2 linked regions of the Danio rerio genome follow. The protein of the gene in region 2 interacts with the protein of the main gene of each other region in a pairwise test. Links are inferred from orthologs where the notes say so. Each region holds a gene or a part of one and is shown on either strand. Other genes may lie near its edges.

Region 1 (4,404 bases), on a different chromosome or scaffold from region 2:
ACAGAATCTGTAGACAGGGCAATCAGCACATACTGGAGCATCAAATCCGGATCTCACTATTGATGTGAGAAATTTTTTTTCCTCTCACGTGGGTTAAGCAGCGCTCTCATGAAGAGAAAATGAAATAAAACCTTCACATGATGAAAGCAACACTGGCGACCCGTATCTCCAAACAGTTCTTATTCTTTTCCCACAACGTTTGGCAACACAACGTGTGTTGTCTCTCTGCCGTCTGAACACTGTTTCAGGTACAGTCTAAAAAAGCTAGCATGCATATTAATGAAGTTGCATGCAGCAACATACATAATGAGCGCTCTGATTGGTTTGAACCAAGCCTTACTCATGAATGAATGCAACACACTCAGAAACATAATACGGGACGCTGAGGTACAGACGTCCCGTCTGCAAGCTGGAATACACGCTAAGATCTCATGGCCGTGATGCAGCTTCAAAAATTAGTTTTAAACCGGAAGTACGAATTTGCTCAAAATAACGCAAAAACAACTAATTTTTACTTTTTAGTGAGATATATGTGTCCTAATAGTGTTTTTAGCAGTGTGGGACACATATACGACTGTCAAGTGTCAACATTTTAAAAAATGTGTTTTGGTGTTTCGTCACCCTTTAAGTGTTTAAAATATGATATCATAGTAGTGATGGGTCGTTCTTGAACAATTCGTTCATTTTGAACGAATCTTTAATATGACTTCTGAACTACAAGCCCTCTCAGGGAGTGATTTATTCATTCGCGCGTGCATACATTTGTGCAGGTGGTATCTTTTGAGTCGTTCATCGCGGAAAGGGAGAAGCCAATCATATGCGTTTAGAGACAGAAAAAGAATTGATCCGTTCATCTCTCAAGTCGTCTATCGGGTTTGAGTCATCCGTTCCCCACAGGCCAATCATATGCGTTTAGAGTCGGTAAAAGAATAGATCCATTCATCTATCGAGTCCTCTTTCGGGTTTGAGTCATTCTTTCCTCACAGGCCAATCATATGCGTTTAGAGCCGGAAAAATAATTGATCCGGTCACCTATCAAGTTCTTGGGTTTGAGTCATTCTGTCACATGATGAATGAAAGACTCGAAGACTCGAAAAGGTGAACTAATTATCATGGCTCCTATTGGCTCAGATTGTGTACTTTAATTAAGATTATATGTGACTGTCAGTGTAACGTGAACGAACCACTGACATTTGAAGGCATGAAGAGGTGAGCTAAGCAAAGAGACCACAATACCTTCATAGACAAAAGAGCGTGTAAACATTGAATTATTATTTTCTCCTTCTTATAGTATTCTATTTATGACTTATTTGTTGTGTAATCAACCTTTTGGGCTAGTTGTAGATGTGTTTGGAAGCAATTCTTTTGGAAAATTGAACCAAATAAACGAAATGACTCGATAAAAGTTTTGTTCATCTCGACGAACGAGACTCAAAGATCCGAGTCAATAAAATGATCTGAAATTCCAATCACTATATCATAGTGGAACACCCCTTTACGAGATTGGAACGAAGTAGGGGTAATAACAGACTTTTTGGGGGAGGGGGGTGTACCAACCCAATTAAGGTATAATTACAGTATGAATATATTTGTGCTCAATGCATACATTTGTATTCTACACTTGCTCACCATTTTTTTTTTTTTCAAATAGGATATATTTGCAGAAGTATTCGGATGGCCTTTTAATTTTGCAGTAACCAGGGTCAAGTGCTTCCGGTGAACAGATACAAAATCTGTGCATTTATAAGAACTGTTTTCTTTAAAAATCAAGGATCTTCACTGCCTAAATGCTATACGCTATAAAGCAGGTCTAAGAATATAGAAAAAGCACTGCATCAAATTATTTTTTTTTTTGTCTTTGAAATATGAACTAAGTTCATTTAGATAACTAAATGAACGCTTAAGTCTTTTTAACAGATTATATTTTAATTGCATTACAACATCAATGATGTAAAAGGAACCGTATAAAATTGAAGGAAAAAAAAAAGTCATATTTTAGTTCACCGTTGCTTATTTTGGTAATAAGTAACGCAAACCTTGGTTACTTGATTATGTAACTCAAGCTACCTGTAATGCCAAGATTGATTACTTTCAACATAAAAAAAAAAACTAACTAAAGTAATTTCTGGAAAATATGGTGGCTTTTATATAGTATAGTTGTACTTGAATTACTGTGTTGTGGTAATTCTAAAGTTTCTATTGAAACAGCAATACAGTAACATTAACAAACAAATTGTTACTGTACAAACCTTCTACAAATATAGTAACATTATATCATACTACAATACACCAGTATACCACATTATTTATTAGTATATCAGTTTGCTATAGATAAACACTATAATATATACCTGCAGTAAACATCCCGAATAAACTTTACTATAGTGTGGTTCAAAAACACTAGTGCTTCCTATAAACGACAGCACATTTTTATGAAGGGAACTTCCTTTATAGGAGCTCCTTTATATTTTAGACAGCTGCCCAGTGTTTAAGACGCAGCCCGCGAGTGTATATTTGCAGAGCTTTATCCTCTTACCTTTGAGCTGCGGGAGCGCCGAGATCTCTGGAGCCGCAGGCCTGCTGCTGTTGACCGCAAATTGAGACGAGCCCTGGCATACCCTCTGCCTTTGCGCCTTCCTCACAGACTTCCGCGTGAACCCGTCCACTTTCTCCGACGCAGAAATCGCCGACATTTCCAGAGCAGATCTAGCAAAAAAAAAAAAAAAAAAAAAAAAAAGCTGCGCCTACAGTGAACGAGTGTGCCCTAAATGTTCTCTAGACTTGAGTGCAGACATCCCATTGACTGTGCTATGCATTAAACTCACGAGACCCCATCTAATGTGACACTGTCAGCCCACTCGCGGAGGCTGCATGATGATCCACAGGTACCCTAAGATGACGTATAAACGTAGACGTTAGTTACTGACGTGCTTTTATCATGCTTAAATGTTTACAAAACCATATAACAATGTCGAGTACAAAAATGCAGTCGCGTTTATCCAAGGAGACACTCCATATGAGGAAAAGAGTTTAATGCGAATCCGCCGAGGGTAAAATTCCTCAGACCCGCTGAACTTCATTCAGCTGCTGTTGCGCCTCAATGGAGTCTAAAAATAAAACCCCGTGGCGCGTTTGAGTGACAGCATGTTCGTCCAACGAGCGCCAGCACAAACACCAAGCTCCGCCCACTGACCAATCAGATTCTTGTTTTAATGGTATTTAGGGAAACACACAAATAAAAAGATACTGTATCCTTGAACTCGCATGAAAACATGCAACAAAACTTCAACAAACGTTCAACCACTCAAAAAAAAAAAAATAATAAAATAAATAAATAAAATTATAAAATAAAACAAACATACAGGAAAAACAACGTCCACAATTAAACATTTTAAAGAGAAACACTGTGAGAGTTAGTTGAACTTGGAGCCTTGTCAAAGGAGAAAGGGACAATCCTCAAATTGAGAAATAAAACAAACGCATAATCAATATTCGTAGTTAGAACGCAAATAAATGTAACTTTTTTATGAGAATAATTTAAACGATCACATTTTTACAGAAAATGTTTAAAACAACTTCCTTTTTTGTTTATAAAAAATGTCTAATATACGTCTAGACAGTGGTCTTAGCTGAAACAAGGCTACATTTGGGCTGTCAGTGAAAATCTAATGGATGTCTAAGAATATGCCAAAACTAGACTAGTTATTACATAAACAGAAATTAATACACACATAGTCTAATCTGTCTATTTGACGACTATAGTTTTGGGCTATTATATTAGATTAATCTATTAGATTTTCAATGACAGCCCAAGTTTAGGCTTGTTTTAGCCAATCCTTCAACGTTTTGATACCTAACAGACATCTAAAATTGTTTGCTAGGCCATGTCTAGGTGAACAAGGCATATTTCTATAGCTAAAATTAAGTTTCTGTATGCAAAAAGCATATCTGACCCACCATGCTGAAGATATAGTGAAAATAAAACAAAATAACAAGCAGGATGAAAACTTTGAGGCAGATCTTTCTAGTTAAGTGACATTCTAGCTATTCACACAAACTTACAAAAAGAAAAAAAGGCTGTGCTATAATGTAAAAGGTATTTAAATCATTACAAAAAAAAAAAAAAACCCTACTGCATTATAGAGATTCAATACGTAAAAAGCAGTGGGCTAATTGGAAATGGATTAGTTATGTAAAGTGCTGCTTTACAATCAATAGAGAACTGAAAATGTGACCCACGTTTAAGGACAATCTCAAATAAAGGGCATTACACATTTGGAAATAAGTATTAGAATTGGAATAAAAAATAAAGTATGATATAACACTGATTATAACACCCAAATATAATTTAATATAGTTTAAAAAGCATGTTAAATGGAGCAAAGTGTTTCAAACTGTCTGACA
Region 2 (3,824 bases):
GAGACTGGCCGTGATGATTCATAAGCACGTGATCCTCTCGAAATTAGTTTATGAATAAACTTCACATAGCACAGAAAAACAAAACATTGCAATGTCAGTTTTTTCCAACATTGCACAGCCATAGTTTACATGCCAAATAATCTCATCTTTGATGACACAGTAAAAGGATCAGAACTGTCCCTTTTAATCTGTCGCTATCCCTCAAAGCACAAGACTTTACACATAATTTTTGAAACAGTTTTTAAAATTGACTATGATCACTGATTCTCTCCTGAACACTTCAGTCCTGTACCTGCGATGCTGCAGTGGTGTGGAGGTCTTGTGTGGGACGTTGGATCTGCTGCGTGGGACAGGCTGAGGGGTTCTTTGCTGTTTAGAAGCAGGGCCAGACATCACTCGAGTTACTGTCGATGGAAAACTGCTGGATCTGGGTCTGGACTGAACCACTGTAAGAAAACAAGACATCAGCTTTACTGTAAAAATAAAAAGCAACCCAGCAGTCACCTTAATGTCAAAACGTCAAAAAACTGACATCAAGTACATCCAAAAAAAAAAAAAACACATAAAAAACAGCCAATAATATCCTCCTTTATATTAATTGTCCTTAACTAACATGTAATTACACTGAAATTAATTAATACAATGTACTTATTGTGTACATTAAATATATGTTTTTACATTGTACAGGTGGAGAGAAAATTAAATGCAATGTTTACTCTATTTGTTTTAGTAACAGATAAACCTGTTAAGAAGAACCAAATAAAAATATCTCAGCTTTGATACTGTGTGTGAAATCAAAGATCCTGACCTTGTTCATGTAGTTTGGGTTTGACAGGCTGCTCTGTGTTCCTCTCCTTCACCCTCTGCTCCAGTTTATGGCTGATCTCCTTCAGTGCCCTTCGATAAACAGGATCCTCCTCCAGTTTTTTCCGCCGATCGCTGATAATCTGGGTCATGCTGCTCTTATAGAGGTTTTTAGACAGACCACTGACTCCCTGAACAGCACAACAGAAACTGAGGTTACTCTTTTTGTTCACATCATGTTTTTGTTCATTCGGTTGGTCATGTACCCCCTTCAGAGTTTCCCCTACCATTATATTACAGGGCTCGAAATTAACCTTTTTGCTTGGTAGGAGAGGTGCTCCGAACTTTAAAAATTTAGGCGCATGAGGCAAAATTTAGTCGCACCCAACAATTTTGAGCACCGTTACTACAAACATATTTATAAGATTTGAAATCAACACTAATCAAACTAACAAGCAAAAAAATATATATGCAAGCGTGAGGAAAATATGTTTCAACAAAATCCCGTTATCACAAGAAAATAGATTTTTAAAACGTAACTTATGCATTATGCATTATGCATAACGTTACATCATGCTAATAGCCATACCGGTCTTCATGAGTAGCGATATTGCCAACCCAAGCTCATTCTGGAAACGTAGCCCCGCGGAAGTTTCTGGAGACCGCGATTTACGTGGCTGGAGGTACGTACGGCTGCGTTTAGTTTTTTTCGAGCGAACGCTGCGGGGTGGTGTAGCGCCACTCCTCTCCTCCTCTTCGCGCTTGCTGGCCGACGGCTCACCTCCGAGTGGAGGGCTTTCCCGATGCAACCAGTTTGTCCGCTTAGCTCACAGCGTTGCGTCGGCGGAGCTGAGGCCCCTGAGGAGGAGGAGCCGGCCGTAAGGACGACGACCGGGATCGAGTCTGGGGAACAGCGGTTACAGAAATCAGGTAAGATGAAAAACAGAATCCGAAAAATAAGGGCGAGAACGTGGCGGGATCCGAAAACGCGGTCTAAATCGAAGACGAGGGCTTTTGTTTTTGTTTTTTTCTGGACAGCTTTTGAAAACCGTCGCTTGGGTTTAGTGAAGGAGGAGGAGGAGGAGGAAGAGGAGGGCGGCCGGGTTGGCCGATCTGGCGGCTTTTCGCGTGAGAACAGCGCGGGCGCGAACGGAGCGCGCTCCCGAGAGGCGCCCGAGACGCGAAAAAGCGCGCACAGCGGCCTCTCGCGGCTCGGCGAAAACAAAAAACGCTCGAATATGTACCTCCCGGGACGTATCTCGCGGTCCGCAGAAACGTCTGCGGGGCTACGTTTCCACAATGAGCCCGGGTTAGATATTACTTTACTCAGTGTAAGCCCGTTTGCGATGATGTACGTTGTGTTAAATTTTACATATAGCTGCCACTTGCATGGCAGACAGCATCTGGCAATTATATAAAGGATTAAACAGAAGCTCGCGTGCTAGATGTGGCAAACAGTTACCTGAAAATTCCATCCCACAGACTTGAAGCCAATGAAAGTCTTTTATCCACTTTTCGAAAAGTGTAGGTGGTAGATTAACATTCAGCACATGGTCACTAGTACGATGTGTCATTATTTATAACTTCAGATGCCATGGTTTCAAAAACAAAATCTGTCAGTGTTATCTTCATTCTCATCTTCAGCGCTTTACAATTTTTCGCGGTAGTAGCTCTCTCTGTCATCCCAAGCCAGAAGGCACTCGCTGAGTGATTGACAGCTGATATTAACCAATCATTCGCGTTCAGTGCTAGAGCAGTGGTGGGCCAATAAGAAGAGCGCGTAGGCGGGGCAAGCATTTCGGACTTGGCTTTGTTTACTGCAGCAAGTTGACATGACAACTGTTGTAAACCATTCCTGAATGCTGCGTTTCGCGTTTCAGGTGCAGACAAACAGCTTAGAGATGCATTCTGCGTAAAATGTCTCACGAATCCGCGCATGTGGTGAACATTTTGGAGTAAAAACTGATCGCACACAACAATTTTAAGCACTCGCAAAAGTGCTCCCAAATATATTTTGAGGTCGCATAAATAAAATTTCGGGCGCATATGTGACCAAAATGGTCGCAATTTCGAGCCCTGTATTAGCATTCATTTACTTGTATAGAAATTTGCTGAACAACTGCTAATTAATTATTTTCCATAACACTATATAAGACTAGCACGAACTAGATTTGCTCACATCTTAAATGTGTCATTTGATCATTTGCAAGCATCTTCAATGTGTCATATTTCATTTTAAATGTATATTTATTTTATTTCATGCATTGTTCACTCATGGAGTTGTATTCTCCATGCATTCTGTCTTCTCGCTGTTTAAGCAAAGGCCACTGATTAAAAAAAACTGGCAGATAGCATTTTATGTAAAAGAAAAAGTACTATTTTATTTAAATACTATTTAGTTACTATTAATTATCTATTTAAGAACAAAATTTGACAGCAGAATTACAAATAAAATTTTAAGGACATCTTTCAAAATCTAAAATTCAAGCATTTTCAAGGATATCCAGCACCCGTAAGAACCCTGTATGTCATATTTACTGCTGCAAGATTTGAGAAAAGATGCCATTAAATAGTAGGTTGTCAGAAACCCCCTAAAAAGGTGTAAACACTAACCTTGATGCCTAAGCTCTGCAGTCTATCATCCAGGTTGTGCTGAGCTGCCAGACGCATGTCTCTCCTCAAACCCGGATTCTTCAGCAGCTCTTGCACCTCCTTCTGCCAAGACCTGTTTTCCGTCGGACTTTCAGAGATGCTTGAGGAATCTGAAAAAAAAAGGATAGGAATGATCATGGTAGTCTGTGTTCGACATACAAAATGGCACATTTTTTGTCATTCTCCAATTGCAGTGGCAGATTCAGCATCACGTTCCAAAAAACTTCTTAGTCAGAAGAAAATACACAGCTCGATTATGGAGGACTGAATGGAATTGTTTTATAAAACCGCCATTATAATGCTGCAAAGTGACAAAGTTTTAATTATATGCACGCTTGCATCTCCAATCAAGTTACTTTTTTAAATCA

Evidence for each region.
Region 1: the proteins of dzip1 (region 2) and ppp2r5a interact in binary tests that used the Homo sapiens proteins (3 or more experiments, as listed by UniProt). The link is inferred for Danio rerio from reciprocal best matches to the Homo sapiens genes DZIP1 and PPP2R5A.

Annotation. Positions count from the first base shown.
Region 1 is NC_133195.1:14,410,959-14,415,362, reverse strand, and holds the start of ppp2r5a (serine/threonine-protein phosphatase 2A 56 kDa regulatory subunit alpha isoform), read right to left. Parts: upstream 3,110-4,404; 5' UTR 2,694-3,109; coding exon 2,537-2,693; intron 1-2,536. UniProt on the Homo sapiens protein: The B regulatory subunit might modulate substrate selectivity and catalytic activity, and might also direct the localization of the catalytic enzyme to a particular subcellular compartment.
Region 2 is NC_133181.1:8,204,347-8,208,170, reverse strand, and holds part of dzip1 (cilium assembly protein DZIP1), read right to left. Parts: intron 3,567-3,824; coding exon 3,418-3,566; exon of another isoform or gene 3,315-3,417; intron 3,114-3,314; exon of another isoform or gene 2,741-3,113; intron 2,431-2,740; exon of another isoform or gene 996-2,430; coding exon 809-995; intron 447-808; coding exon 293-446; intron 1-292. UniProt on the Homo sapiens protein: Molecular adapter that recruits protein complexes required for cilium assembly and function to the cilium basal body.